3 linked regions of the Drosophila melanogaster genome follow. The protein of the gene in region 1 interacts with the protein of each later gene in a pairwise test. Each region holds a gene or a part of one and is shown in the gene's direction. Other genes may lie near its edges.

Region 1 (9,584 bases):
ATTGACCGAGCGACATTTTCGCCTTTGTTTTTGTTTCGCGGGATTATCGTCGCGTGGGCGTTCCAGATTCTCCCACCCCTTACCCCCGCTACACCATCTAATACCCCGCTCTAATGTCCGGTAATCTTCTTAGAATCGGAGCATATGTGCTAATTGCCGTAAGCTTAGGCACACGAAAACCAGAAACGTTCTATCCAGCAATATGAAAACTATGTTTTAGCTGTGAGCTACGCAGATTAGTGTGATTGAGTCCAGCTTCAGGAAGTCAGATTCATTTGGTAAAGGAATCAATGATCAATGAAAGTGAAATCATGCATTCCATCCATAACTAAAAGATAGTTTTTTGCTATGAGCTACCTAGCAACAATGATTGAAAAGAATAGAAAATATATCTTTAGTTGAGAAAGAGTTTTTGAGAATGGTTTTAAGCTTGCTAGTTGATTGTGACAGATTGAATAATTGAGCACTTTATCAATAACTCCTTGTTCCAATTCCCCATTTTCGAAATTATTCACTTTTGTGTTTTTTTTTTGTGTTCTTTAAATTGATCAAATCTGATTGAAAAACCTAACAATTCTTAATATTTTTCTTCCCTGCACACAAAACACTTACTCCATTCAAATAACTCCTTGCAGCAAAGTGAAAATGGGACAATTTTATACGAGTCAGCGTCATAGTCATAGTCTATTCATTTTCAGCATAATACTGAGAAAAATTCTATATAGAAAACCCAATGCTTTGTGAGTACCAGAAAATGTGAAATAATATGTATTTAATTGATGTTGTTTATTTGGTGTTTATTCGCTGAAAGTTGTTTGTTTGTTGCGAGAAGCTTTTATCAATTTGTTTTTGATTGAAATGCTAAAAGAAAACACATTTAAAGACTTACTCAATCTTTGTGTTTTGAAATAGCAAAATATAATCGAATAGTGAGTGCTAAACACGTTCGCTTAGTCGAGTTTTTATATAGTTAATTGTTCAACGGCTGTAAACTAATTGAGTCACCTAATCCTATTCCAGAATGGGTTCATTTAACTCGGCCCCAAAGATCAACAATGTGGACTCCCAGGACGATGGCCTGGTACTGCCCTCCGGTCTAAGCACCCCGGCTCTCCTCCAGCATGTCCAGCAACTGCGTGGCGGTGGCATCGAGCAGCCATCGCTGCTCACCCGCGGCTTCCTAAAACCGCTGCTGGCGGACGAGGATGTAGCCGACGGACTGCGATGCCTCAAGCTGAATTCCGTGTCGAGGGGTAGGATTGCATCCTTGTCTTATCCGAGGGCTATATTCTAATCTATTTGTGCAGTTTGCAGTGCGCCAGTCGAGGGTGATGACATTCGATTGCTGCAGTGGAACATCCTATCACAAAGTATGTCCCTAAAAATATTTATATGCTTATATATGTTTAAAGAATTTGCATTATTATACCTTAACTCTATCCCATTTAACTTGATTTCTTCATCTGAAACCCAGCTCTCGGGCAGCACAACGATGGATTTGTGCGCTGTCCCGAGGAGGCTCTCACCTGGGAGCACCGCAAGTACCTGATTGTCCAGGAGATTCTGCAGAACCAGCCCGATGTGATTTGTCTGCAAGTATGTTCACATCAGCCCACCCAACATTTTCAAGACAGTCACACTTAAATGTGATATATTCAATTAGGAGGTAGACCACTTCAAGTTCCTGCAGACCGTGTTGGGTAGCCAGAACTACGCAGGCATCTTCTTCCCGAAACCGGATTCCCCGTGCCTGTACATCGAGCAGAACAATGGACCCGATGGCTGTGCCATCTTCTACAAGAGGGACAAACTGCAGCTGCAGGGATACGACACGAGGATCCTGGAAGTGTGGCGGGTGCAGAGCAACCAGGTGGCCATCGCGGCCCGGCTGCGTATGCGATCCAGTGGTCGGGAATTCTGTGTGGCCACCACCCACTTAAAGGCCCGCCATGGCGCCCTTTTGGCGAAATTACGGAACGAACAGGGACGTGATCTCATTAGGTTTGTGAAGCAGTTTGCCGGAGATACGCCGCTGCTGCTCTGCGGCGATTTCAATGCCGAACCGGTGGAGCCCATCTATGCCACGATCTTGGGATGTGATCTCCTCCGCTTGGGCAGCGCCTATGCCGACGTGAAGCTAGACCGCGAGGAGATACTACATCCCAACGCGGATGTCGGTGAGTTCGTCGCGAAATCGATGAAACGCGAGCCACCCTACACCACCTGGAAAATTCGCGAAGAGGGCGAGGAATGTCACACCATCGACTACGTCTTTTACACACCCGATCGCCTCAAGGTGGGATTTCTGAAATAGTTGCAAGCGGTTACAATTTATTTAACAATATTTATGTCCAATTTCAGATCAAAAACTGTCTAGACTTTCCGGCCGGAGAGCAAATTGGCAAGAATCGCACACCCAGCTTCCAATATCCATCGGATCACTTTTCCCTGGTGTGTGACTTTGAGCTACTGCCTCCGACGGAAAACGGAAAGGAAAGCGGCAGCGGAAGTGGGAGCGATGGTGAAAATGAAACGGAAGTGGAGGGCAGCAAGCATGGATCCATTCAATAGAAAGCTTCAGATTCATAATTTGCCGAAAAAGAAGTTTCAATAACATTACATCGATTGTGATATTAGTTGTTAGATACATATTAGCCTCATACACAACCGTTGCACTACAGTTTGCAGCTTTTACAAATGATAATCCAAAATTCACAATAAATAAATTACAACGTATGGAAGAAAGTTAACTGAACTGCATTTTCTATCCATATAACAATGACCTCTTAAAAATCAAAATTAAGGATATACATATTTTATATAGATTCTGTACATGAACTGAATCCCCCATCTAATAAAAAGATTCTTCAGTTCCGAAGTAAAAGGATCTTTAGAAGACTTTTCTATAGTTAGGGAAGCCAAAGAGCTACTCTTAAATAAATACATTTTCGGAGCCCTTTTGCATTTGGTTTTAATTTTTCATGTAAATTTAAGCCTATAAAAAGTATTCCCTACTTTTGGGCGCATGTAAGTAATATTCTGCTATCGGAAATCGCTTGTTCGGGGCGTATACTTGATTTCGCTGTCAATGGACCGCAAGATGTCTATTTAACCGGCCTCCACACTGAATTCACTCTACAAATCACCGAAATCGTTAAAAACACGCACACCGTGCAAATTGCAGCGCACAACAAACGTATGCAGCACGCCCAAAGCAACAAAATGGATTGCGTAACACAACAAACACCTTTATAAATATACACACTACATGTATTTAGTATATAACAATTTTCACACAGTGTTCGCACTAAAATGTAATAGGTTTAGCTGGGGTCTTGGACTTAGAGCAGGGCCAAGATAGCGGATAGCACGAAAGAGGTGGCGACCATTGCGTAACCGGTGGAGTAAACCTCCTTGATCTTCAGGAACCGTCCGGTGTCCCAGAGGAGATGCCTAATACCATTGGCGGTGTGATAGCCAGCCGGATAGGCGATGATAAACTTGAGGGCGGTCAGAGTGGCGCCACTCAGCTGGAGGCCCTCCACCATGGTCACATAGTGGCTAATGTCGTGGGACGAGATCAGAGCGCCCAATCCCAGACCCCAAACACCCACACCCAGGGCCAATCCTGTGCCGCGGTGACAGATCGAGAGCATGGAGGTCAGCTGCGGTTGGTAGATGGTCAGATGGGGCGACAGCTCCCTGCCCAAGCGCTCGTTCTTCTCGAAGAACGACTCGTCCTTCTGGGTTTCGGCCACGGAAACCACCTTCATCGATACCGGGCGGCTGGCAGCGGCCATCTGGAGGCCCTGGCGCAGCGCCGGAGAGCGGATCAAAGAACTGGAGAGTGCATACCTGCAAAAAGCAGTCACAAATCAGGGTTTTTGCAGTGCCATCACAGAAATTACGTACATTTCCCTGTTTTTCACTCGAACTTGTATTGATGGGACCGTACACTGACTGCGCGATATTACCGCAAACAGGGATGCCACTACGTTGGTAAAAAACAAATAAGTCTCGAAAGTATTGATTTTATATCAACTGTAAAACATTGTTATTACTTTATATGATTAATTCTGTTCCCACTTTTATATTATTCCAATTGAGAATATTACACATATTTATCTTTTTTACTGAAACAGTCTCAAATTATTAAAAGTTAGAATGGCCATAAATATACGTAAGAAACATCAATATTATAGCTATAATAATTTTGTTCGCCTTGTTAATATTCCCTGCTCTTAACTAACAATAAATCGAAGAAAACATTGAAATTATCGATACGTGTATAGTAGGCGCTGCCACTCCCGGATCAATCGTTACCACTCCCAAGCGAGTTGGCAGTTCTTTCGCCATTTTTTCTCGCTCATTCTTTTTGCTGTTCGAGTGAGCGCGTGGCAGGTCGTTTCGCAGTGTTCCCGGTCCGGTGCAGTTGTAGTTGCATTTTCGCCAGCGATTTAGACGCCATCTTCCGACTCCCGACAAGCCAATCACCATGAAGATCTACAAGGATATCATCACCGGCGACGAGATGTTTGCCGACACCTACAAGATGAAGCTGGTGGATGATGTGATCTACGAGGTGTACGGAAAGCTGATCACCCGCCAGGGTGACGATATCAAGCTGGAGGGCGCCAACGCATCCGCCGAGGAGGCCGACGAGGGCACTGATATCACCTCGGAGTCTGGCGTGGATGTTGTGCTTAACCACCGACTGACGGAGTGCTTCGCCTTCGGCGACAAGAAGTCGTACACCCTCTACCTGAAGGACTACATGAAGAAGGTGCTGGCCAAGCTGGAGGAGAAGTCGCCCGACCAGGTCGACATCTTCAAGACCAACATGAACAAGGCCATGAAGGACATCCTTGGCCGCTTCAAGGAGCTGCAGTTCTTCACCGGCGAATCTATGGACTGCGACGGCATGGTGGCCCTGGTGGAATACCGCGAAATCAACGGCGACAGCGTGCCCGTGCTCATGTTCTTCAAGCACGGTCTGGAGGAGGAGAAATGCTAGATGGATCCCAATCCCCCAAACAAAACGGAACCTATACTCATGCATACCTTCTACACACATATACATATTTATCAGATGCTTAGTTACAATTTTGAAAGTCTTAAATTTATGTTTAAAAACGCTGACAAAAATGCCTGTCTTCGATCAGTGCGATTTTATATCTAATTTCTTTTTACCGGAGCGCTTATAAATTCGACATTGTATGTTTATTGTTTAATCACAGCGAGCTAAACAATTCAATTGCGCCACCTATTGTAATTAAAATAATAATTTGATAGCAACACCTACAAATTAGTATGCATTTTCGCTAAGATATCAAAAAGCAACGAAGACCGAAAATGGGAACACCAGTACTGAAATTAAACGGAACACCTATACAAAACAACTGTGAATCCGCATGTCTGTACTTCTTTCCAAATCTGCAGTTATGCGTAGGTAGACGCCGCCATATGGCGGCGTGAGTGGGAACGAGAGGGCGCCACCACCGTCTGAGTCACAGACTTCAGTTAGTTTGTGTTGTTGCTGCTTTTTGGGGCAATCGCGGAGTTATTGACCTTTGACAGTGATGTACACATGCCCCGCACCAATACCGTTACCGTCATTGGACATTTTGGAGGTCATGCGCAGTGGAACACGATTTTCTGCACGTTGCAGTTCGACTTGCCCCAGTTTCTCACGTTGGCTTCGCCCTAACCTCAACCATGCTAATGAAATGCGCCGCTCTCGCTGGAATTTGGGATTCTATAATCTAATTCCAGGTCAAGCAATACGTACGTCTTTATCTGCTTGAAGGGCGGGGCTCTGCGCCCCAGGTGCTATTTCCATTTCAGCGAAACGTGTCGACCTGTTGCCGTTCGTCGCGTGAGAGATGCGCACAGTGGACACTCGTTAGGGCGAACGGCGATATTGTCTGATGTTCGAAAACAATTTTTTTGAAAAGCACAATATATTTTCCTAAAATTGTAAAGAATATTTTATTCAAGTATTTGAATCTAGTTGAAATAGAACCATTTTCGGGATAAAAAGCTAAAAGTTTTTCTTCGCTATTCTCATACATTGTTGAATTTAATGGTTTTTAATATACATACATATGTGTCTATTTATGTACCTTTCCATTCTTATGAAGCGTTGTTGAAATGGAGTATTGTTCCAAGAAAACTTTTTAACAATAAGGAGAACAACAAGCTATACAATTCTGGTTTATTTTGTGGTCTTTCAAATTAAATTATATTTTTGTAAAGAAGTAGTAAACTGGGCAGTTCAATAGCAGATTATTTTCAATGGGAATCTTTTGTAAATAATTGAAATAGGTTAATCTAATCGAATATGTTAATTGGTTATTTGTTTGTACCCAACAAAAAACGAATGATAAGTACCCATCCAACCGGAATTAAAACTTCTTTCAGTTCGGTTTACGTATAAAAATGCTAATAACAAATTAAATTTTATTTCGTTCATAATTTTGATGCTTCAAACTGTGGCAAAAACGATTCACCAAATGCACTTCCACCGCACGGCGGAATGTCCATGGAAATGTCAGTCAGAATTAGTTGCTATTTTCTGGTTTTGTTCATGCTGAATTTTAAAAAATCTTTAAATATTTATATTTACCTTTGCACAAAATCTTTCGCTTAGCTTACAATTACACTAATGCTCCTCGATATGGACTATTGCATAAGTTATGCCATGCTTTCAGTATGTATAGAATTGGAATGAATGCCGAACGCATTTCAACAAATACAAACGTTAATAAGTTAACAAAAATTCGGAAAGTACAACTGAAAATCAAACACTTTCTTTTACTTAGCTCTTGGAGGGGACATTCGGAAGTGATGGGCGGGGTATTGTGGCGCCGTAGTATACTAAAATTTCATAATGTTTGAGTCGCACTGCCCACAAACATTCAACATGCGCTGATAACTATACAGATCATTGTACAAGGACACCGGTGGGTCGATCCCATTGGCATCAAACATAATCCAACTGTATGTAGATCTGCTTGACGCCCACCGCCTCAAAGATCATCCGTGTGTGCGTCACCACGTACTTGGGATCGACGTTCTTGGACACCTCCAGCTTGAGTGCGCCCACATAGACATCGGAGCAAAGGGTCCAGAAGTGCGGCTCCTGCACAGCGTAAACGCCAGCCAGGCCGGTGACTTTCTGATAGCACTGCGGCAGCGATCGGTCCAGGTCGGCGGGTTGTCGCTGCATCAGGATCATGATCGACTCCTTGATCAGACTCAGCACACTGAGCGCTATCAGCAAGGCTATGAAGATGGAGCAAATGGGGTCCGCTATCATCCAGCCGAACATGTGCATCAGCACCGCCGAGATGATCACGCCCACCGAACCCAAAGTGTCCGCCAGGATGTGCAGGAAGACGCCGCGCATGATCTGCGAGTTGCTGCCCGACATGTCGCCGTGCGAGTGGCCATGGCTGTCGTGATCGTGTGAGTGTCCATGGCCTAGAAATGGGCGGATTTAAAAAGGGGTTATTAGAATATTGTCCCATTCCTAGTCAATATAATAAGATATAATCTCCAACTGCAGTTACCATTGTCCAAGGTGATGGCTTGGTGATTGTGATTGCCGGCGTCCGTGTGGCCGTGCGAGTGCCCGTGCCCATGACCACCACCGTGGGAGTGTCCGTGTCCACCGTGCGAGTGTCCATGTCCGCCGTGATTGAAGGCATAGATGCCCACCAGGTTCACCAGCAGTCCCAGCACGGAGACGACAAACAGACGCTCGTGCTTGACCTCCGGCGGTTCGATAAGTCGCTCCACGCCCTCCGACAGAATGAAGAAGGCTATGAACAACAGGAACAGGCTATTCACGAAGCCGGCCAGCACCTCGGCGCGCACATAGCCGTAGGAGAACTTGTCGTTGGCCTTCCACTTGGTGATAACCGACGCGGCCAGTCCCGCCAAGAGGCCAGTGCAGTCGAAGAACATGTGGAATGAGTCGGAGATCAGGCCTGCGGATTAACCATCAAGTAGGTTATAAACTGCGGATAAGATAAAAAGCCATTAGTGGCCAAGTACGCACCCAAACTGTTCGTCACAATGCCGTAGAAGAGCTCCACGAAGGCGAAGCTCAGGTTGAGCAGCAGAAAGAGGAACAGATTCCGGGAGTTGCGGTCGGAGAAGATGAGTCGTTTCCAGCTGTTGAGCTTCTCCCGGATCCGGTAGCCCAGACTGCTCCGGTCCTTGTGCGACAGCGGTATCATCTTGCCGGTTATGGATCTGCAAAAGAGCACGAGACCAACATGAGATCTAAGCACCTAACTAAGAAAGCACACTTTGTTTGCATACGTGGTATTATCGGTTGGCTATAGCCGCGCTCCAGCTGATTCCGTGATTCCCACTCCGCTTCTGGCCGGGTTCGCGAGAATCTTTATCGGCAACGGCGGCGGCGGCAGGTCTCTTTTCTTTGATTCCCAAATTATCTCACAAGCAAAATGCTTCCTGCGCGACTTCGTCGTCGTCGTCGTCTTGTGTGCGCAGTTGTGCGGCGCGGGCTCGTCGATCTGCGATTCAGCTGCAGCTTAATTCATTTTTACTGGGTACCAGATACCAGAACCGAACTCCCGTCTTTGCCAGCACCAAACCAATCTGCCGTGTTGTCATCAAAATAATGGTAACCACGTAAACATTTCGTCCGAACGAAAGCAGCGCTTCGTTGTGAATGGCAAATGGCCACAGTAAGTGCACCACTGAAAGTTTGTTGGGTATTCATTTTACTGGTCGCTTTTTAGTTAGATCTTCCGGCATTTTGTTTGAAAAGTATAAATTCTAAGGAAGTTTGATTTATTGCGGTCTTTTGATTATTATTATTTTTCACTTTAATCATGTATTAAGAATTGCCAGTTTCTAATTTTTATACCTTATTGAATGAAACTTTAATAAACTTCAATGGCTTTTCTTTTGACTTCATTTTGTCGTCAATTATGAAGTTACAATTGAGTACTCACTGTCACGTGAAAACTGAGAGGGTGAATGGCTTGAGAGCAAGAAGAAGATTAGTACTAATTCTTATTGGGAATTCGTTATTTTTTTATAAACAAATATTATTTAATATAAGTGAAAATAACCAAATTCTTGCTGATGTGAATTACAGCAAATGAATCATGATTTTACTGTTTGTATTCAAATGATAACCATTCAAAGTGCTAAATTCAACTAAAAAATACATTTCAGCGGCTGTTTTAAAAATAGTTCCTCATTGATAACAAACTTGAAAGACATTAATGAAATGTTCACTTTCTTAGAAGTATTTTTGATTAAACGCACATTGCAATGAATAATAATTGCTATTATAAGAATTCTTGATATCCTGATTTGCAAATATATTGCACGTCAGCTGTTCGATTTGTAAGAACAATAGTTTTTGGGCTATATGATATTTTACATTCCCAGCCGTATAACTCCGGCTCGACATCTTGAAACCAGCGCTCAGTGATACATCCCTCTATAAGAGGGTATATCTTTATATCAATTAAACATCACGCAAATGTCCCTTACATCAATAAGAAAGCAAGTTTATTCAACGTTACACACACAGCGGCATC
Region 2 (9,379 bases), 5.6 Mb from region 1:
TTGCAGGCTATATAAGCTACACACAATACTATCCCTCCATCTTCTGCCCTGATGCCGGCATACCACTGGTCAGGTGGCCCAGCAGAGAGGGAAGCCAGTACCAGCGACTGTCTGGAAAGGACGACAATGGCAGTCGTGGTCCCCACCATCTCGATGGTGGGGATGCGGTGCGGAGACCTCTGCTCGCTGACAAGGAGGAGTCCAAATGGTACTAAAAGCTTTACGTAATATTATTGTGAGTGTTGCTTTCCCGTTTAAGGTTTTTAAACATATTAGACAATTTCTGATTTAAAAATGTGCTGCTGGTTTACCTCGTAATAGGATGGGTAGGGTTTGTTAATAAAAACTAAGCGCGTCAATTGCTAAACGTAAATTTATTGCTCATCTTTAGCAGCAACATCCAAATCTAATTTGCTACATCAAAGTGACCGAAACTAGCCTAAAGGACACGATATGCACACTCAGATTCAAGTCATGGAATTGAAGGCCTGCAGAAGCACCTGTTTTTCGCGCTCCTTTTTCTTAACTACGTCAAGACTGCGTTGTCGCCACGTGCTCTTGCGCAGTTTGATAGGCCGGCTGCCCACATAGCGGCCGTCCATCTCCTTCATGGCCCGTATAAAGTCGGCCGGTTCTCTGAAGCTCACGAAGCCAAATCCCTTGCTCTTGCCCGTGCGCTTGTCCCGCACCACACGGGCCCGCTGAAACGAGGGGAACTTGTTGAAGGTCCGGGTCAGGACCTCGTCGTTGACGTCGTTTCCCAAGTCACCACAAAAGATGCGGAAGTCATCGTCGGGCCAGTCAGCCAGCGAAGTATCCTCCCACACGGTGCCGCCAGCGATACGCACCGTCTTGCGGTCTTTCTTTTTCCGCTCTGTTGTCTGGAAGGATTGCAGCGCCGATGATGCGCGCGCTGCCTTAATGGCCTCCTCTGCAATGGGATTGGGTCCAGACTTTTCCGCCTTGAGCTTCTTCAGCTTCTGCGTTACGTCAAAAGAGACGGCGTTGATGTCGATGGAGGGCGCGGCGGCCACGGTGGGCACGTGCACAGACTGCCGGCACTGATAAAGTTTGGGGGCGCTGCTCAGGACTACGGGAGTGGCAGACATAGCCTTGGAAGAACCACCTCCACTGCCCGTAGGCACGAAGGTGGACATAAACGTGGGTGGAGGCGGCATCGGGGGCGGGGGTACGGTCAGACGCGATCCTCCATTGCCCTGGTGATGCTGCAGCTTGTGCTGCGAGTTTTGGTACGTATTGGCGGCTATGATCGGGCGCACCTGGTTGGGCACGAAGAGATTGCGGGCGGGGGGCTTCGAGATCTCCGCCTCGAAGCGTGAGAGCTCATCCTCGATGTTGCGACGCTTTGTACCCATTTGAAGTGGGGTTTTCTCTTTTAAAAAATCAAATCAAAGCAAGTTTTTACGAAAGTGCTGCAGAAAACTCGGAGTACTAAACAAATATCGATTTCGTTCCCAATCGATTGCACTATTTTTATTTTAAAGGCCTGTTTAGACATGTCCACAGAATCAGGCTCTATTTGCAATATATAACAAATAAAACAGTTATTTTAATATCATAAAACGAAGACATTTAATATGTTTTAACTATTTAAGAAAATAACTGCGACTTTTTACACTTGATTACGACAAGCACCTTTCCGAACGGGCCTTGATATTTTCTGCAATTGTTGACCGTTAAACTAGTAGACGATAGTGTAGTGTGACGGTTCCTCATTAGCTGGCAAATGCCTTATGTTAGTAGGCTAGGAGTGGTATTTCGGCTTCGTCGACACCAGCACTGATTCAACTTCAGAATTACTGTTTTCTTTTAGACGATCTGATAAATAATACTGGAATTAAAATCGCCGGAAAAGCTCTAGCTGTGATAGAAAGTATCCTCAGCAAGCAAAATAAACGCAGAAGCAATATTCCTCATACACACATTTAAAGAAGGAGCACGGGCATACCCACACAAGCGCACAAAAAGTCGAGGGGCGACAGCAAAAACAAAAGTGTGGAAAATCACAAAACCAATAAATTTCTCCATTTATTTCAAAGCACTGGGCCCCAGGAAAATGCCAACCAAGGAGCGCCACATAGCCATGATGGGCTACCGATCAGTGGGTGAGTTTTCCCAGAAAGTTCCGCCAGAAGCACTGACACTGTTGCTGCTGGCACTGGTAATTGCGTAGTATTTCGACAACAGCAAGAACTATGATCAATTGACCATAATAATTACGCTTCGCCCGCAGGCAAATCGTCGCTATGCATACAGTTCGTGGAGGGCCAGTTCGTGGACTCCTATGACCCCACCATTGAGAACAGTAAGTGTCACATCCCATTCCGTGCGGATTTCTTAGAAGCCAGGCTGACTCCATGCTTCGATAGCAGTAGCAATGCGTAATGATCGGTAATTCCCATTCGCAGCCTTCACCAAGATCGAGCGTGTAAAGTCGCAAGACTACATCGTAAAGCTCATCGACACGGCGGGCCAGGACGAGTACAGCATATTCCCGGTGCAGTACAGCATGGATTACCACGGCTACGTCCTGGTGTACTCGATAACCAGCCAAAAGTCTTTTGAGGTGGTGAAGATCATATACGAAAAACTGCTCGACGTAATGGGCAAGAAATAGTAGGCTTCTTCCCCGTGGGTTCCGCTTGAGAGCTAAGCTAATCTTTTTTGCCTTTCAGTGTACCTGTGGTGTTGGTCGGCAACAAGATCGATCTCCACCAGGAACGAACCGTTTCCACGGAGGAAGGCAAGAAGCTGGCCGAGTCCTGGCGAGCTGCATTTCTCGAAACGTCCGCCAAACAGAACGAGGCAAGTACCAAGACGAATCACACTAGCTGAATGCAACTAAGGTACTTCCTTCGCAGTCCGTGGGAGATATATTCCATCAGCTACTGATCCTCATCGAAAACGAGAACGGCAATCCCCAGGAGAAGAGCGGTTGTCTTGTATCGTAGGGCGGCTGAGTAGCTAAAACTACGGCCGAACTGTTGGAAATACGGCAAATCGCTATGGCAATACGAAAATCGATTATCTCTTATCTACACAGTTGGGTCAGCGTGCATGGCGGGGCCGTACCCTTTGTGCGCAGCAGGAAAATCTAAAAATCTAATAGACCTAGTATTCTTAAGACCACACAGCAAGTAACCAATATCAAGCGATCTGAATGCGTCCGCTAAACGCTGCCCAGCAGGTTTTGTGGTTCGCGTCTGGCGCAACACAACAGGTTTAAGTTAGTACGTTTTTTTTACAACAACAATTCAGTTACAAATTTCATATACAAATTCTGCAAACTTTTAGTTTCAATTTAAATATAATTTTTCAAAATACTATTCAAGATTGTATTTTAATGGTCAACATTTTCGATTGTGAAAAATATAGAGGTTGATTTACTAAAGTTACAAGTGCGTCGAGAAGACCTGCCAGTTGCAATTCCAAAAAGCTGGATTTACTTTATCTCGTCCCTATAACTGATTAAATAGGACCAATACCTTAATGATTTCTATAGATTCCCAACCGTTGTGAATTCTCTGGAGACCAAGGTTCAGCAAGTAAAAGAACTGGGAGGATCTCGGTATGGTTCTTAATAAGAGTAATTTCAAACCAAATTACTATTTGGATAAACTGAAAGACTCACCTGGCCACTCTAGCAATATCTGCATCTGTTAGCAAAAAAAGGGGTCTTTAAATTTTAATACCGCTATTTCTTATGTCACAATTGGTCGGACGAATTTGATTGAATTAAGATTTGGCTGGCTTAATATTTCTAAAGACTGATTATAGAAAAAAGACATAGAAATTATTTCGCATTAAACCGATTATGAATAAAAATATTTCTTGTCTTACTTATCTTAAATCTAAAATGCCGGCTAACAGAGCGTTGCGCGGACTAACAGTGCTGTTAACTGTCAGCTGCCATAACCCACCACGAAAATAGCAAATCCACCACAACGCGAGTTCCAATCGGACCGAGAGTTAAATGTTTTCCGATTTTCAAACAGCGAACTTGTGCGTGCGTTAAAATTAAACTCGTTCAGCATTTAAATCGTGTGAGATCTTTGCCTTTTAACGGTAATTTACCAAAGCGAGCGATTCGTATTAAATGTGAATGTTCCCCATGCAGAAGAAAGCGAGCTTGTTTTTCTTCTCTATTTTCTGTATTGCAATTGTTTTTTTGGCTGACTTTGGCTGGGTCTGTGTGTGTATACTTGTGCGCAATGCGTGGGTATTTTCTCAGTTTTTTGTTCTATTTTCAAATTTTATTGCTCTCGCATAATGGTATACATATGTACATCATTATGTTTGACCGTTATTTCGAATCTCCAACACCGCGAGTTTTTTGTGACGGCATTTCCCACTCACGATTTGTAAGCAATCTCTATACATTTGTATGTACATATGTATGTGGATAGGCATGTTTGTACAACTGCACTTACAACCCGCTAATCAGGTGCAATGCACATACATTCATCGATTCCGACTCGGAATCCCAATCGGAATCCGAATGGGTGGGTACTGGCTTTTCTTGTTGCTTCCTTTACGGGCCACAGCCTTTTATCGATTTAATAACAAACGAACGTCAGCGAGTCGTTGGACTCTGCAAAAACCGGCACTCGCACTTGGCGGCGATGTCTGGCCAGGATTAGAGATGGGAGCTTTCAGATGGCAACGGAATAGATGTTATTGACGTACTTACCAAAGCTTACATATGTATGTGCAGATATGTTTGATTTCCAGGTTCATTTAGCTGACTGGCGATAAGTGTTGCACGCGTATCAATATTCATACCCCCTGGTGGTGGTGGTGGATCTACAGAACCAGGCTATGCCCATCTGGGGGATGGGCCCATGGCTGATAAGATATGTCGCGATTTTATAGCGCCCATAAAAGCCGCAGCAAGCCCACAAAACAAGTGAAACCTGCCGATTGTGCTATCAGGGGATTAAACTCACAAAATGAAAAATCAGTCCATACTACATTGTAAATATCGTTGAAGCTCTTATTTGCAAATTAAAACACATTACTCCTTGGCTTTAAAGACACAATCTAAATGGAGTAACAAATTGAAATTATACTTATGTATTTTCCTTACCAACAACTCGCTAGTTTGATGACCTTAACTGACCGCAATTAATAGTATTTTTATTTATCATCAAGCTGGCCTGGGAGTCCCGTTAGAGTGCTTAATTGGCACAGCAAGTGCCAGTGAGGCAACTGCATTTTTCAAATTAAAGAGAACTAGCGACCCACAAAATTCGTACAGCGAATGAGCTTAGCACATTTTCCCCGCATTAATGCGGCTGCATTAATTGCATTATGTACCTGCGAGCCCACTTGTGTGCATTATGTATGTTTAAACACACTCCTTCCGCGTATTTACATATATGTGTGTACATACATACGTATGCATGTAGCCATGCTAAAAGATAGTCTAGATCTAGATCAGTGCAGCCAAGCAGATGGGGTTTTTGTGCTCGGATGTGCGCCGCCAAAAGGGGAAAGTGCTCACTTATCCAATCCCACTGCCGAGCTACCAGTCGCAATTGAACTAATGAAATGTAGCCATCCTCCAACACGTCATGCAGCCCGATAATCATTACCACAACTCAGTTTGCAGACACACACACTTGCGGTAGAAGCAGTAGTTTCTAAATCAAATTTAATATGCTGCAGCTAAAGTACATTCAGAAAAAATCTAGTTTGGACTTCGTTCGCTGTATAATTTTAGTTATTCGACCAAAATGAAAATTGAAACTGAAGCAATGAAAAAGATCATACAAAATCATCATCAATAAATAAAAAGATATTTTATTTAGCAAAGTTCTTTATAATAAGATCAAACTAATATATATTATCCAAAATACAATAAACCTGATGTTGTTACTGATTATGTAATCTGCACACACCGTCAATGAAGTCCCTCTGCCCATACTTGTTTTTTAGAAGCCAATAGTCGTAAGACAAATCACTTTAACCCACATGCATACTTCATCGCACCCGTGGGGTTCTGGCCCATTGACCGCAAGTGTAAGAAACAAGTCACGGGGTGGTACCACAACAAACCTTTACCGCACCGCACTTTTCCTGGCTTGCTCTCTTTTCCCAGTTCGCCAAAGTGCCCGTGTGGCACAATTCGAACTTGGCGTCAATGCCGTTCTGTAGCCACCGCACTGGTGCCACATCCGATCCAATGTGGAAGAGTGTGTGACGAGGGCGCAGTACGTCACTTCGCCACATCGCAACTCGGCACCAACATCAACAGCAAGTACGCAATACATAATGCTTGAGAGGAAGACCGGCCAAGTACGGGGTCAATGCCCGCTGGCCTGGTTGGCTGGTTGACTGCTGACTGGGTTGGCTGGGCTAAAACTGCAGCGCCGACGTCGGAAGATGGCCCTTGTAACGGCTTAGGCGCAACATTAATATTCCGCCTGTTGTGCAGTTACCGCACCACGTCGCATTGGGTTCCGTGTCTGCCGGCGGAACAAAACGGTCTTCGAGTGGGGGAACCAATCTGCTGAAAAGACAAACGAGCTGCAATGACATTTGTGTCGCTGCACTGTGGGTCACAGCATCGTCAACCCTTTCGAACGAACCCAAAACACCCCGCAGCACAAATGCTTACCGATTACGATTACGAGTGCGTGCACTCGAACCCAATGAACACTGTAGCTATATTGTCATTTCTCAGCTCTTGTAGGAGTATTACCAACGTAAAAGCTGAGCTTAAACAAAACTTAGTTGCTAACTAACCTATTGCAATCATCTCAATTGTGCGGTTTCTCGTTCACTTGAATTCAACTTCCATCTTAATAATAAGATATTATGTACCGCATCGAACTGATAATTCTTCGAGTGCATGTGCTTGAGTTCAGTTTGCGCCGCTTAATGCGCGGCACGTGTCTCGAGCCTGTCCTGGAGCGATGCCCCCTATGATGAGTCATAGGCCACAGCCACCACCTAAGGCCCAACAACCCCAAGCGAGTGTATGGATGGAAACACCAGCTCGCGTGTCTGTGTGTGGGAAATGGGGAAACCCTCACCAGTCTAGTCCAACATTCAGATTCACTTACGGAACCCATTCGATTACAGACTATTGCCATGTCGACCAGCCCGAAACCGGTTAAGAAGGTGCCGATTCACTTGCAGAGTGCCCAGAATCGCGTCTACATCAAGAATGGTAAGCTCATTATTCGACCCCGTGGGGAAATAAACCGAGTTAAAACACTGATTCCATTGCAGGCGAGATCGTCAACCATGACAAGTCCTTCAAAGCGGACGTGTACATCGAAGATGGAATTATCAAGTAAGTATTTCGGAAATTACACACTTTAATTTCTCTAGTCCAAGTCCAAGCTACATGTGAAGTGTTAAGTAAAGCTGCAGATTCTGCTTCGACTTAGCGAGAAAGACAAATCTAGACCAAGAATAGACAAAGAATAGACATAGAGCGTTGGCATGACTCACGGAAATTTTACTCAACCACCCTATCCTATTGCCAGGTTTGTGGGTCCCTCCTCGGAAATAACGATACCTGGCGGAGTGCGCACCATCGACGCCAGCGGACTGATGATCATTCCCGGAGGCATCGATCCCCACACCCACATGCAGTTGCCTTTCGGCGGAGCCGTGGCCGTCGACGATTTCTACCATGGAACCAAGGCCGCCGTGGCAGGTGGCACCACCATGATCAGTAAGCAGGATTATCAAAGCGTTTGAAATGTACTCATTTATTCCTGTCCACTTCCCTAGTCGACTTCGTTCTGCCCAACAAACATGAGTCGATGATCGAGGCCTACGACAAGTGGCGCAGCTGGGCCGATCCTAAGGTGAGAAGTGTAGGGTGTATATTGTTTTAAACACAAGCAAATCCAAGTATCAGGGAGTAGTAAGTTAGTAAGCAACTAGGAAATTCTCTATCTAGCTTTGTTACTCATTTATGCTAGCTAAACATACATATAGCTCTATACCATATAAAATATCAAGATTAAAGCTCTTGCTACGGATATGGTTTGTTGAATCACGAGCAATCTATGAGTACATACATTTTGGCATGTAATCAATATAAATATTTATTTAGGTATGCTGCGACTACGGATTGCATGTGGGCATCACCTGGTGGTCGAAGTCGGTGTCTGAGGAGATCGGCATTCTGTGCAAAGAGCTTGGAGTGAACTCCTTCAAAACATTCATGGCCTACAAAGGACTTTATCAGGTAAGTCTGCTATAATGGAACGCATCTGCTTCATAATTAATGGTCTTACTCCCATTTTAGTTGAATGACTCAGACCTTCTGGATGTGTTCGAGCGTATCAGGCACCTAAATGGGGTTGCTATGGTAAAGCTACTTGGACCATTACTAATCTAACTTAAAGCAAGACTAGCAAAAGAAATCATAGGAATTTCCTGTTTAATAGGATACATCCATCAGGCCAAGTCCTTTCTAAAATTCTATTGAAATATATTGTAAACAAATTTGAAAAGATGTACATTGGAAAAAAGTTCCTGATAGGTTCGATTATTGTACTGATGCACTTTTTGTGTGAAGCTAGCTTCTTGCACTTTTTACAACCATCCACATGCATCCATTTGTAGTACAACTTTATTCGCTTCCACAGGTCCACGCGGAGAATGGCGACATCATTGCAAAGAACACGCAGCGCCTTTTGGCCGAGGGCATCAATGGTCCGGAGGGTCACGAGCTGTCGCGGCCCGAGGAGGTCGAGGCCGAGGCGGTGCACCGCGCCTGCGTCCTGGCCCACCAGGTAAGACCACTCCCATGTCGCCAGACAGTGGGGGATGGATGGGAAGAGGGAGGAAGGAGGAGGCGGAGTGTGTCCATGCCGGTTGAGTGCCATTGTGCACTGTGCCGCGCACTGTAATCATGGTTTATTTATTTATGTATGTTATTTATGATTTTGATTTCCTATTATTTCCATTGTGTATGATGCACCCTGTACATATTATGCGGTATGCGGCACTCGATATAACCCCACGAAAAAAACATAACCTAGGCCGATTGTCCCCTGTACGTGGTCCACGTGATGAGCAAGTCGGCGGGCATTGAGCTGGCCAGGGCACGCCACCGCTACCGCGGGCGATACATAATGGGCGAGACCCTGGCCGCGGCCCTGGGCACGGATGCCACCTGTTGCCAGCACTTGGGCTTCGACGCCGAGGCTGCGCATGTGCTCAGCCCGCCCTTGCGGCCCGACAAGACGACCCCCGAGTTCTTGATGAAGCTGCTGGCGAAGTAAGTTCTGCCTGTTGCCTGGGTTCACATTCCGGGCCGGGACCGTAAATGTCAGAGGGAACCATTGTTCCGCAAATTATTCGAGAATGTTGGAAGGCACATTCTTGTATG
Region 3 (12,481 bases), on another chromosome or scaffold:
TCTTCAATCGCAAAGTTCGAAGAGCTGACAGAGGGTATGATTTCAGCAACAGTTGCTAGATATATTTTTGACTAAACACCGAACATTTGTAGTGGCACATTGGAGAAAGCTGATTGCTCGAGTGGTGACCTACAAGGAGCGTCCACGGGCAACCACCGCTGTAAGTGCTGCTGCCAAGGAGGGAACCCCGCTGCCCGGAGTGGAACTATTCGATCCAGCCGACAACTCTGAACTAAATATTGCCGATCTGATGATCACCCAGGGCTTTGCTCTGCCCCTGGACGATTCGTATCCAGTGCGGTCACGCTCCTCGACGCCCTCAAGTAACAGCGACTCCACCATTGAGGAGTTGTGCGTCAGCAATCCAGTGACTCCGCTTACGCCCCACTCACCTATGTCGATGTCCATTGATGTTGACAGCATTACGCAGGCGGAGAACGAGCACCTCGCCCAGCAGCTGCAGCATTTGCAGCATAAACTGAACGGAAACGACATAAAAAACATTAATCCGGCTAAACTGACGGCTACAGACCTCGAAAACGGGAATAACAATAATGCCAGCACCACAAATGGTGCTAGCGCGCATTAGGATTTCACATTGTTACTAATTATCCTCGCCTAATTGTTTATAAGATGAAGGCTGGACGAGCAGCTCACTACTTGACGTGTACATAAAAGTATAGCTCTTAAGGAACTTATTGTATAGGTACGAAAGAAAACTGTTTAATTTATCGCCGTGACTGATCGACATATCCTAGATCCTAAAAGCTGACGATGGAACGGCACAGATCCTTAATTGTTTATAGCAACCTTTGCCATGTTACTTATTGTTAGCAAGAACAAGAAAAACATTTGTACATCAACAAAAAATACACAAAAAAGATCACAAACTTATCAAAAGAAATGCATTTTATAAGAATATCAAGCTTAAGTCTATTTTGGTGGCCTGTTTCAGAAATCTGTATTAGAGAAGTATTTCAATATTCTTTGAAAATAAGATTTTCTAGATGACGTTAAGGCATAATTGAAAATGAATATAGTTTCTTCAAATGAAAAGGGCTACAAATATTAAAAGTCGCTTAAAGTATATTAAAAAACCCACCGGGGGGCAGAATTGCAGTCTTGTTTGGGGGATTTACCCCACGCTTAGATTAGGATGTCGTTGGTGGTGTTTATAGCTATGGGGGGCAGGTATATGGCGCGGATCTGACTGCGCAGGCGTACGATTTCCATGTCGTCCCTTTCCATTTCTCTGATGAGCTGGGAGAACTGGACTAATCCCTCGCGGTTTCCAGGAAACCCATGACCCTTAATGACCTCCAGTTGGAGTTGCATCACCAATGGAAAAACCTGCAATGTATTATGTTAAACTATTTGGTTATTTGTTTTGATTTGCTTGGTATTTACGTGCTGCATCATGAGAATCATCTCTTTTCCAGCGGAAGCCTTTGCCTCTGAGAGTTTCTTCGAGTTTTCCGGCTGATTTACACAGCGTATTATGTCCATAAGAATTTGCTTGGCAGTATCACTGTTGAAATTGGTCAAGTAGGACATTATAAACGTTTTAACGGCAGTGTTTGTGACGAATTTAGGCAAAATGCAACAAATTGTAGTAGGTTTTATTTTGTGTTTCCGTTAGAGATGAGTCATACAGCGATTACAACTATCGGACAAACTATCGGTTCGGATTCATAACATTACCAAACCCTTAGTATGGACAAGGAACTGTAATATCATTCAAACAAAAACTTTACGATTAAATAAATTAAGCTGAATTACAAAAAATTAAGAGTAAAAGTTAAATTAATTTCGTTTTAACAGCACCTCTAGAAGCAAAACGTTATCCAACACTTAAGGTCTGGAAAATTGCCAGTACTGAAAAGTGCGGAAATCATGTCACGTCGGAACGTCGACAAAAGACACAAATAATAGGAAAAAGCTTATTTCGCGCAGGCACTCGCATATTCCCAGTAAATGCAAGGCCAATGCAAATGCACCATTAGTACGGGCCACCAAATTGTAAATCAAACCGTCGAGTTCCCAGCGCAAAAACGCCGAGCAAAGCAGCAACAACGAAACGCAGTTTAGGGCCTGCATTTTTGCGATAGTGTGAAAAGTGCGTGTGTGCAAAAGAATACAAAATAAAGGGGGCGCAAAAGAGTCAGTGAAAACAACAACACACAAAAACACAAGACACAAGTACACAGAGAAAAACGCAAACACCCGCACTCGCGCAAACAGACACACACACACACTGTGAAACTCCCAACGTCGAGTCAGCAAATTGTGCCACACACACAAAACGAGGAAAGAGGAAGAAGAGCAGCAGCAGAAAAACATAGGTGCTCCGCTCGCATCCCACATCTCCAAAACTCCATCGATCCGAACTTCCCGACTACCCAACCCAACTCTCCGGAATGAATCGCTCCGACGGATTGGTGCGTCGCTCGGTGAAACCCCGCGAAAACGGTGGGGCGGAGGGTGGGTTGAATGCCAACACGCCGGACGACAACCAGGATGCACTGGACAACCTAAAGGACCAGGAGGACAATATCGACGATGGCGACTCCAAGGAAACACGACTAACGCTCATGGAGGAGGTTCTGCTGCTGGGACTCAAGGACAAGGAGGTGGGTGTGCTCCTTATCTCTTATCTGCTTGGGATGCACTAATTAATTGGTTTCTTTCGCAACATAAGTGCTTCTTCTTCACCTGTTAACCGACGTCTCTCTCTCTCTGTCGCTCTCACGATTTCTCTCTTTCGCAACCTCTTGCTTGGCCCCAAGTGCAACGCAGTCCATCTTCCAGCAGGGGCGTAGTGAAAATTGGATACAGGGGGGTAACTTATCACTTCAGTTATGGGGGCAACAATGTTTATCTGTCCTACAGATAAACATTTTATGCCATGTCTTAGCCACTTCTCTTAGCTTTTCCAGTTTGTTAAGCAATGCACTATGAAATCTTTTGACCAGCCTGCTGACTAATGCGCAATCAGTGAGACTGCCAACACCATTTTCTTAACCACTTTTGTTTTTGCATTAATTAATAGTGTGCTCCATCTGTTAAGGTCTAATCAGCCGTTCATTCTAATCTATAGAACCCATTACTTGCCCTTTGTAATACTTTGATGTACTTCCCAAATAAGTGATGATATATTTATATATAGTATATAATAGGTTTATTTTATGTGTTACACTATCGCGCAATTGCTTCCAGTGCCAAATCAAAAAGATTCTTAGAATTGTTGCCAACGTTCTTAGTTGTTGGAAAGATAGCGCTCTAATACTTCTTCGGTTGGCAGTTGTGGCTATAAATACATACATATCTCTTCGAGAACTTCACTCCGCGCAGCACGGAGAACGGTTTCGTCAAACGAGTTTTCCAATAAGTGGTTAATTTGCATAGGTTTGTAATATTCATAAATCTACGTATAGCGCGGGATGATGTCCGTAAATGCGAACCATCATCCATACGTGACCCATTATGGCGAACAGGCAGATTCGCATTTCTCCATTGAATTCGGTTTTTATATTTCACTTGGCACACAGCTTTATCGCTCAATTGCTGTTCGCTTGTACCACATAGGAATGCACACATGTGCCTTTGTGGCTGGCACCACGTCTATTTGTTTTCATCATTTTGCCCGCAGTGTATTTGTGTGACCACCCACACCTCCATCCCTGCCACCTCCTCTCCCTTCGCATAAGAGGGATACGAGCTGGAAACAGTGGGACGTGTTGCCCGCTTTTGTTTTACATTCCCCTTCCGAGCGCTCTTATCGCGAAGATTTTGTCCATTTGGTTAATTGTTTGAGGAAGTACATACTATCAAGTGCTGCTCTCCTCTGCCTAGCTCTCATCCGTTTCGGGCTTTTCTTATGTCAGTACGTCACTCATTTTCGAAATTATACAAAGTACTTGGCTTCTACCCACACCATCCATTAGGAAAATTTCAATATCTCGAACTGCCGAACTGATAAGCGACGTGTTCTTTGCAAATGATTCACTTTTATACCTTTCGTTCGGAACGATTCCTTATCAATCATCTGAGCGATTGTTATATAAATTATTTTAAAATCGTGAAATGGCATTGAAACGTGGTTGAGGTATCTATCTATACCTTCCAATTATCATAGCTTTTCAAGCGTTAATAACAAGAGTAATTTTTGTAATTGATTTTTTATGTGGTTATAACATAACTCTTCTTGTTCGTTTTTTCATTTATACTAGCTAGATAAGCATTGTATTTTTTAAATTGACAGTTCATACACTTCTGTGGGCAAGGCCTAAACAAACTCAAGTGTTTAATGTTTTAACAACTGAATACTTTCGTCTGGGAGCTTTACGACCCCGGCAACAGGGTAATTATTCATTTCTTTTACGCCCAACACAAGTGAAAAGGCCAAACCATAGACTTGCTCAAATATATTTCAAAACCTTGAAACATGAGACAGTAACCATTTGTTAATGAAGTTTGTACTTACATTTATGTTAGATAGAATTTAATAAAATTTTAAAAAATAAACAAGTAACGCATTCACACATTCTTATTTTTAGATGCCCATCCAGGCCAATCAAATAGCTTGAATCTAATAGCATTTTTAATTACTTTCAGGGCTACACATCTTTCTGGAACGACTGCATATCAAGCGGCTTGCGCGGATGCATTCTCATAGAGCTTGGACTGCGAGGTCGCGTGATGATCGAGAAATCTGGAATGCGGCGACGTGGTCTATGTACAAGGTATGTATAGAAATCTAGTTTCCACATCCTTTCAGAAGCATGCTAACTTCAATTCGCCAACAGGAAATTAATACTGAAATCGGATCAGCAGACGGGAGACGTTCTACTCGATGAGGCACTTAAACACATTAAGGAAACAGATCCCCCGGAGACGGTGCAGAGCTGGATTGAATATCTTAGTGGTGTGTATTTAGGCGCCTGCCATTTCGCCAAGTATGTTTTGTATAACCTATTGTTGTGGCAGGTGAAACCTGGAATCCGTTGAAATTGCGCTACCAACTGAAAAATGTACGCGAACGTCTGGCCAAAAATCTGGTGGAGAAGGGTGTGCTCACGACGGAAAAGCAAAATTTTCTACTCTTCGATATGACGACACATCCGCTGAGCGACAATGTTGTCAAATGTCGCCTGGTGAAGAAGGTGCGTAACTAGACTTGGATATATTCAAGAATTCTAAAACTGAATCCGAAATGTATGACTTCAGATCCAAGATTCTGTGCTCTCCAAGTGGGTCAACGATCCACAGCGCATGGACAAGCGGATGCTGGCGCTTATCTTCCTGGCGCACGCCAGCGATGTGATCGAGAACGCCTTCGCGCCGCTGAATGATGACGACTATGAGGTGGCCATGAAGCGGGTGCGGGAGCTGCTGGATCTCGACTTCGAAGCCGAGTCGGCCAAGCCGAATGCGAACGAAATTCTGTGGGCGGTGTTCATGGCGTTCACGAAATAGACGATCCTCTGATCCTCTACGCTCCTCTCAATAGCACACACACACACACAACACACACCCCAACACAGAAATACAGACCCACATCTGGAATACATTTTGCTGCTTTTGTTTTAGAAACTTTGCTGTGAGTGGAACCGAATCGGGCGATAGGATTTTCTTAAATGGCAACCACCCCAAATATCTGTTTCAGTAATATATATTTTTTAAGCGAGACTATAAAGCAGCCATAATTCCTATTTAAATATACATATGTTTATCAACACTTCAATAATACCAATCAAACGCTCCATTGTCCTTTAATTTTTTCCTGTTCTGTTGAGCATAATAATACATGCCAATGTTTTGCAATCATAATCAGTAAGTTGTGTTCCACGACACATAGAGTTTAGTTGATGATTTCTCTGGCAATGCAAATCAAAATGTATGATGGAAAATTTAAAGCTGCAGCATTGTTTTTGTAATTATATATCTAGCACTAATTGTAAGCGCCAACAAGAAAACTTTGATAAAGTCTGGGCAAGCTGCGTGCGATTGTCTATTGTCAAATATCCTATATATATTTTATCAAAACTTTTCAATTCTATTTTTGATTGTCAAGTATTTTCGAGCCCTTTCCATGTATTCGATTGCGCGTAGAAAATCAGTTCAAAACGTTTCTCGAGCTCCGCAATTTTACCTTAGTACGTTCGACCTTAAGTATGCACCCACCCACATGAACAGACAGACATGCAGACAATTTGACACGGAGCGACATTCAATCTAGGCAATGTTTTAATTTAAATTGTTATTGAATTTCGGGAACATTGAAGTTGAAAAACCTTTTCTAACTGCTAAAAGAAAAATAAAGAACGACAAGAAGTGGACAGCAAGAAAAGAAAAATTATGTAAATGTAAACTGTGCACGTCAAATAATACTAATTCTTAGATATTTAAAGGCCTAATAAAATACAAATATAAAATATATAACTGACGCAAAATTGAAAGTTTATTGCAATTTCGGTTGTACCCCTCCATAAATCAGAGGAAAAATATAAAACATTTAATGAAAAATGGGTGATGAGTTTTAATAAAAGGGGGAAAGCAAAAGTGGACAATCGTCGGAGGAGAAATAGGATTCTTTCCGGTGTGACGACCAATCCGATTTAACTTATCTACTTGAAAGCATAGCCCAATTTTTGATTCGCTTTTTAATACAGTTTTTATTCCGTTTTTCATTCTCAATAAATGTGTTTTTGTTTTGCAGTGTTTGCATTTCTTTCGATAGTTGAAGGGGCAATATACCATATAAGTCGAGTAATTCTCACACGAAACATTTAGGTTATAATATAATAATCTTTCAATGACATAAAGTATGATAAAAAGCAGGGCGCAGCGCACAAATTATTGCAAAAATACATTAGGCCAAAAAGGATGTGAACAAAGAAGTGCTCTTATACTATCCGTTAAATCAACTAGCAGTTTTCAACTGTGGAAAATTTGCAAGTAATTTGTAATTACAATTAAACATATTCATGGAATTTTATAAGAGAATAATTTTTTTCTAATTTTGCAGATAAGCAGTTGCCTCGTTTAACAAATGTTTCGTTTCTAGCGCAGCCGATCAAAAAAAATACATACAAATATATATATATAAAGTAAAACAAAGCAAAATATGAAAACTTTAATAAAATTAATGGAAGAATTGATACGCTCGAAATGATAGCCATTAATTAATATATATGTATATGTATTTTGATGTAAATATAATTGAAGTTCCAACAGCTTTCAGCGCCAGTTTCTGCTTCTGATCCTAAACCCTTTGCATTTCTTATTTTCCGAGGCGACTGCGCATGGACGACAGACGACGCATCCGAGCCCTGTTTTGGGAATAACTGTCCGCCCATCGCTGCTCGGGCTTGTATGTGCCGGAGTAGCCGGCGTGCTAACTCAGCAGATCCTTAATCTCCTTGTGCATGTGACACAGGAAATCCACGTAGCTGGCGGAACCGTCTGTACCGCGGTCCTCCACGAGGAAGTGTCGGAACACGCTCTCCAGTTTGTCGTTCTGCCGCAACCAAGTTATCTGAAGAAAAGATTAAGATCGTTACACATTTCCACGAAGGCAAAGATTTGATCACTGCAAATACGCACCCTCATGTATCGCGAGCGCTCCTTCATGATCTGCTCTAGGATGCCGTGTATGCGCTTGGCCAGCGGCGTTTCTGGAACAATGTTAAACCGCTCCAAAGCTATTTGCTGAAGACCCTGAACGCCGAACACGGACTGCACAAAATCAGGCGACAATGCCTGGCCCAGCCAGACGAAGAGGTGGACTCCATTCTCCAGGATGTAGGCGCCATCCTCTTGCGTCTTTTCGTGCGTGCAGCGAACGGGAGTCGGCAGATCTGTCTCCTCGGGTACAACGTTGTGGATGGGAATGAAACGGGGATACAGGTAGCTGACGGATTGGTTTAAGTCCATCGACAGAATAAACTGGATAACATAAGATCGATCGTCTAGCGTCATGTCCGAACCGCCGGAAATAGCATCGTTCTTGAGCAAACACGAGGCATACAGTGGCAGCAGCTTCAGGCACTCGGGAAGAATCAACTGGCCGGCGGAGGTCGGCGAGGTGCAGTGCTTGCGATAGCAGGCCAGGATTTGCGCCGATCGATGGATTAGGTTGTCTTTCACCTGCTTGGGTGAATGCTCCATCAACTTGAAGCAGGCCTGCTTGGCGAAGAACAGCATCATCGCGTCCAGGTCGCAGCACTTAAAGACATCCGCAATCGTTGTTGTAACGCGCAGAGCAAGGTTAAGAATTCGCAGACGCCTTTGGCCGCTGCACGAGGTGTACAAGAGTGCGACTTGAAGGTACACGTTCTCTTCTGGTGCCAGCTTGTCGTCATGCTTGATCTCAATGCTTATCGACTTGGTGGCATCTGGAAATCGAAAGGAATATTATTAACATATATAAAACCAAAATGTAGCCGTGATTGCATACCAATACTGGCCAGCTCCACATCAGTTGTATTGGACATGAAGAAGTGACCATAAAACTCCGTGGGTCGAATGCCAGCCGATGTCCGCACCCTCATCACCGCGTCGAAGGCGATCGGTCGCGATACGTTCTTAATGATATCCTGTATTAGTCTCTTGCCATCCACGTCCGCCTGGAAGTAGGTGTACTTGAACACCTCTCCACCAGTCAGCCGAGAAACCTGCCCAATCGTGGCCAAGTCGATGTAGGCGTTGTTAAACACGAATAAGTCCACGGAGCAACCCTGCTGGACGCACTCCTGGCCCAGTGTGTTATATGCAGTGGTTTGTGGAGTGAGTACGGTTTTCTCCTTATCAGTTCCCAGAAGCTTCCGATCATCGCGATTCTTTAGCTTGCCAGGCGCCTCCGCGATGGGTAGCGTTGAGTTAAACACCAGCAGTTTTCCAGCTGCATTCGATGCCTTCAGTGCCTCCAAACCCGCTTGAATGGCAGGGTACAGAATCGTTTCGGTTTCCTTGGTGTCGGCAAACATACGAGGGATCTCTTCCATCAGAGCATCGATTACAGCAGCCGACTCTTCTGGGTGGCACAGGAATCCATCCAGCAGGGGCATGAACATCTCCTGGACATCGCCCACAACCATCATTTGCGGCTGGGCCAGACTGCTCTTGATATTGTAGAAATGCACGGTGCTGTTGTACGTGATGAAGCCCACCCGCACCTTGGATTTGTCTTGACCCTGGTCGACAGGCAAATGCTTGAGTATGTTCTTGATCTGGGAGCAGAGCAGATGAACCAGTCCCGACTTCACGGTGTTGTAGGAGACGTCGATGATGAAGATAAAGGCGGGAACCTCCGGGGGAGTATTGTTCTGCGGCAAAGGGAAATAATTAAAAATCAGTTTAGTGTGTATCTACTCTAAAAATGATTATCATTAAAAACAACCGAGACAAATTTTCATTCTGTGGAAATACATGATCTATTAACAAACATGCCATATGTTCAACATATTTATTGGAATATGTTCAGAAAAGCTGTTCCATTTTCAAAAATAGCTATTTTTAAAAGCACCACATTTTGGTGTCTAGAAATATTATTAGTAGTATTTCCAATATATGTATAACTTACCCGACAGTAATCCTTGGTGGCCAGAAACTCGTAAGTTCCCAGCAGTAACTCAGGTCTTTCATGCTTGTCCACACGCTGTCCAGTGTGATCCAGGTGCTGATAGTAGTTCTGATGAACTGCAAAATAGTTCAACATTTAATTAAGGCATCATTAATTGCGCCCAAGATCGCTTACCTTCCGAAGTTACTTTGCACATCAGGCACTGGAATCGGCGGCCGGCATCCACGAACTGCATGTTGGGCGACATGTACGCCTTACACCTGTTGCAACGAATTGGTCCCATTTCGCCGAAGTTCACAATCGGTGGCTCCATTTCCCCCTCGCCAACTTTGGCCAGCGGCGAGATGTTCAATGTCAGGGGTAGAGCTGTGGTCTTCAAAAGATCACCCGTGTTGGGGATGCAATAGAGCGAGGAGCGCAGGAAGCGGGGTGAAGAGTTGCCTTGGTCGTGAACCACGAATTTGGTGGTCACCAATGGAGGCAGCAATCCTGGCTGGTTGGTCACAAACGGTCCTCCAGACAATCGCTGGTTCTCAATCATCACCTGGATGGGATTGGGCATTTGATCGGGATCAAGGCGTCGTGCCTGCGGAGCCTGTTGATACATATTTCCTGCTCCTGGCATGGGAGGTTGCTAAAATAGTTATAAAGCAATTAGTTAAAACCTTGTTACAAATAATAATCATGACTTACATTAAAGCCAGGACGTCCTGGCTGACCTGGAAAACCGGCACCTGGCTGAGGTGGATATCCTGGTCCTCCTAGTTGCTGTCCCGGTTGTGGCGGATATCCTGGCATCGGCTGCTGACCGGGTTGTGGGGGATAGCCCGGTTGCTGGCCCGGATAACCAGGTTGTGGAGCTCCGAATTGCGGCGGAGCAGCTGCTTGCTGACCTGGAAGCGGTGGAGGTGCTCCAGGGAAGCCTCCGGGAGCCTGACCTGGAAAGCCACCTGAATATCCGCCTTGTTGGGGAGCTCCGTAAGGCGCTCCTGGTTGCGGAGGCAACCCGGGTTGGGATAGTGGTGGCAGTCCAGGCTGCTGTGGGGGAAATCCCGGCTGCTGCTGTGGTATCCCTGGCTGCTGCAATGGCGGGATTCCCTGCTGCTGCTGAGGTGGCAATCCGGGTTGCGTGTAAGTTGGAGGAGTGGCTCCAGGAGGTAGCTGGGGTTGACCCGGTCGTGAGCTCGGTACTCCATACGGACTTGGGGCAGGCTGGGATGTGGGAATCTGACCGGAAAAGGGTGGCTGTCCGGGAAGTGGCGGTTGTCCGGGTAGAGGCGGCTGAGAAGTAGATCCAGCTGCTGGAATCGGAGGCTGACCAGGTGCTGCTCCCGGCGTTGCCGCTTTCGGTGGCGGCATGTGCGGCAATCCCGCCAAAGTGGCGCTGTTCAAGCTCATCTGATTAATCCCACTGGCCACGCTTTGTGGAGTACTGCTGGGCGGTAGGGCTCCGTTGACATAACTTCCAGCTTGCGTCGGTGGTGGAGCACCGAATGCAGCATTGTTGTTGTTGGTCGGAGGAGGTGCTGCATTAGAGTTAAACTGATTGAAACCGGTTGGCGGTGGTGCCGCAGCAGCGGGAGCTCCTTGGGGGAGTGGTGGCTTCAGGGGATTGGCCCCACCGACACCGCCACCCACACTCAAACCTCCCATCGACGTGGCCAACTGCAAGAGAGAATGTTTTTTTTTTTTTTTTATTAATTTCACTTCATTTTTCTTATCTACAAGCTCAGCTTCACTCTTCTATTATGAAATCACGGATGACCTCTTTTACTGAATGAAGTGCTCGCAGCCGAAATTTCTAAACTTAAAAATACTGTCTTGGTTTAGGTATTCCTGTGCGTCATTGAGATACTTCCCATTGAATATCTGTATATCAAGGTGGCCAATTGGTTCAAAAGAGTAACGTAATTCTGCAATGCTTTTCAGATTCTAACCCTATTCTTATTATCGACTAGCTCAATAGGCTATTGCCAGAATGAAGCTGAAGGGAATACACATATATTTGACGTGTGCAACCGGATTGTCTTCCGATTCTCGTCAAAGCTGCCATGGTTAAGGCTATCTATTCACCTGCTGCTGGTAGTTGCCATTGAGGTAAGGCTGGGATGCCGCCGACGTTGGTGGTGGTGCTCCGTACTGTGGTTGTTGTTGCTGCTGCTGCGGAGGCAGTTGTTGCTGCGGCGGCTGCTGCTGCGGTAGTTGTTGTTGCTGCGGTGGCCAACCTCCGGAATTCGGAGGAGGAGCCCCAAACTGGGGTTGCTGCTGGAACTGCGTGGGCGGTGGCCCGTACATATTCGGATTCATTTCTGGCCCGGATTAATCACCTGGGTTTTAGCGGAGAGGGTCGACGCTAAGCCAACAAACAACTTTCACGGAAAACGAAGAGAAAACACACACGGATTGGCTCAAAGTTCGCCACGGCGATTTAGCAATTTCGGGGGCTGCTCGGCCTGATTCCTGACCACTGACTCCTCGATTTTGGCCACTCGGTGTTGGCCTCAACTCTCGACGGCCGCGGCGGACGATCGCTGGTTGAAAAACAAGAATAATTTCGAGCTAAACGAACTTCCACGTCAGTTCCCTAATTCGATCTTTTTTGCTCTTTTTGCCTTGCCACGTAAGCTATCGGTAATCGGCAGTGGAAAATCGAATGTCAATCGATTGTGCTCTTTCGGCTGCCATCGCCGAATCGATAATCGTGTTGAACTTAACAGCGCTGCTGTTAGCGAACAGCTGCGAGTTATGTTATGTGTAAGGTGGTGCAATAGAATGCAGTGACGTCATTAAATACGTTGGGTTAAAATAAATAAGTGAATAAGATATAATCAAAGTACATTTAAAATAAATATGTATATTTTCACAATTTTATCAAAATATTCCTTACATTCAGGGGTT

Evidence for each region.
Region 2: the proteins of Tctp (region 1) and Rheb interact in binary tests that used the Drosophila melanogaster proteins (3 or more experiments, as listed by UniProt).
Region 3: the proteins of Tctp (region 1) and sau interact in binary tests that used the Drosophila melanogaster proteins (3 or more experiments, as listed by UniProt).

Annotation. Positions count from the first base shown.
Region 1 is NT_033777.3:11,205,886-11,215,469, forward strand, and holds Tctp (translationally controlled tumor protein), read left to right. Parts: upstream 1-4,361; 5' UTR 4,362-4,495; coding exon 4,496-5,014; 3' UTR 5,015-6,013; downstream 6,014-9,584. Other genes in the region: cu (curled), read left to right, coding at 1,021-1,253, 1,308-1,370, 1,475-1,596, 1,664-2,296, 2,362-2,571; SdhC (succinate dehydrogenase, subunit C), read right to left, coding at 3,342-3,855, 3,913-3,914; ZnT86D (zinc transporter 86D), read right to left, coding at 6,983-7,482, 7,572-7,991, 8,063-8,243. UniProt on the Drosophila melanogaster protein: Involved in calcium binding and microtubule stabilization.
Region 2 is NT_033777.3:5,567,146-5,576,524, forward strand, and holds Rheb (Ras homolog enriched in brain), read left to right. Parts: upstream 1-1,775; 5' UTR 1,776-1,894; exon of another isoform or gene 1,895-2,060; 5' UTR 2,061-2,077; coding exon 2,078-2,126; intron 2,127-2,254; coding exon 2,255-2,326; intron 2,327-2,429; coding exon 2,430-2,637; intron 2,638-2,696; coding exon 2,697-2,826; intron 2,827-2,882; coding exon 2,883-2,972; 3' UTR 2,973-3,346; downstream 3,347-9,379. Other genes in the region: CG12746 (uncharacterized protein), read left to right, coding at 1-215; CG2931 (uncharacterized protein), read right to left, coding at 468-1,376; CRMP (collapsin response mediator protein), read left to right, coding at 7,117-7,195, 7,258-7,321, 7,518-7,708, 7,768-7,844, 8,096-8,230, 8,291-8,353, 8,634-8,780, 9,030-9,268. UniProt on the Drosophila melanogaster protein: Binds GTP and exhibits intrinsic GTPase activity. Activates the protein kinase activity of TORC1, and thereby plays a role in the regulation of apoptosis. Stimulates the phosphorylation of S6K through activation of TORC1 signaling.
Region 3 is NT_033779.5:2,224,652-2,237,132, forward strand, and holds sau (sauron), read left to right. Parts: upstream 1-1,690; 5' UTR 1,691-2,417; coding exon 2,418-2,630; exon of another isoform or gene 2,631-2,654; intron 2,655-2,712; exon of another isoform or gene 2,713-2,953; intron 2,954-4,614; coding exon 4,615-4,742; intron 4,743-4,805; coding exon 4,806-4,924; intron 4,925-4,986; coding exon 4,987-5,162; intron 5,163-5,226; coding exon 5,227-5,475; 3' UTR 5,476-6,448; downstream 6,449-12,481. Other genes in the region: papi, read left to right, coding at 1-34, 93-589; CG15387 (uncharacterized protein), read right to left, coding at 1,147-1,350, 1,408-1,554; Sec24CD (secretory 24CD), read right to left, coding at 7,397-7,537, 7,606-8,396, 8,459-9,326, 9,584-9,699, 9,758-10,217, 10,277-11,248, 11,657-11,890; Tengl3 (testis EndoG-Like 3), read right to left, coding at 12,481-12,481. UniProt on the Drosophila melanogaster protein: Phosphatidylinositol-4-phosphate-binding protein that links Golgi membranes to the cytoskeleton and may participate in the tensile force required for vesicle budding from the Golgi.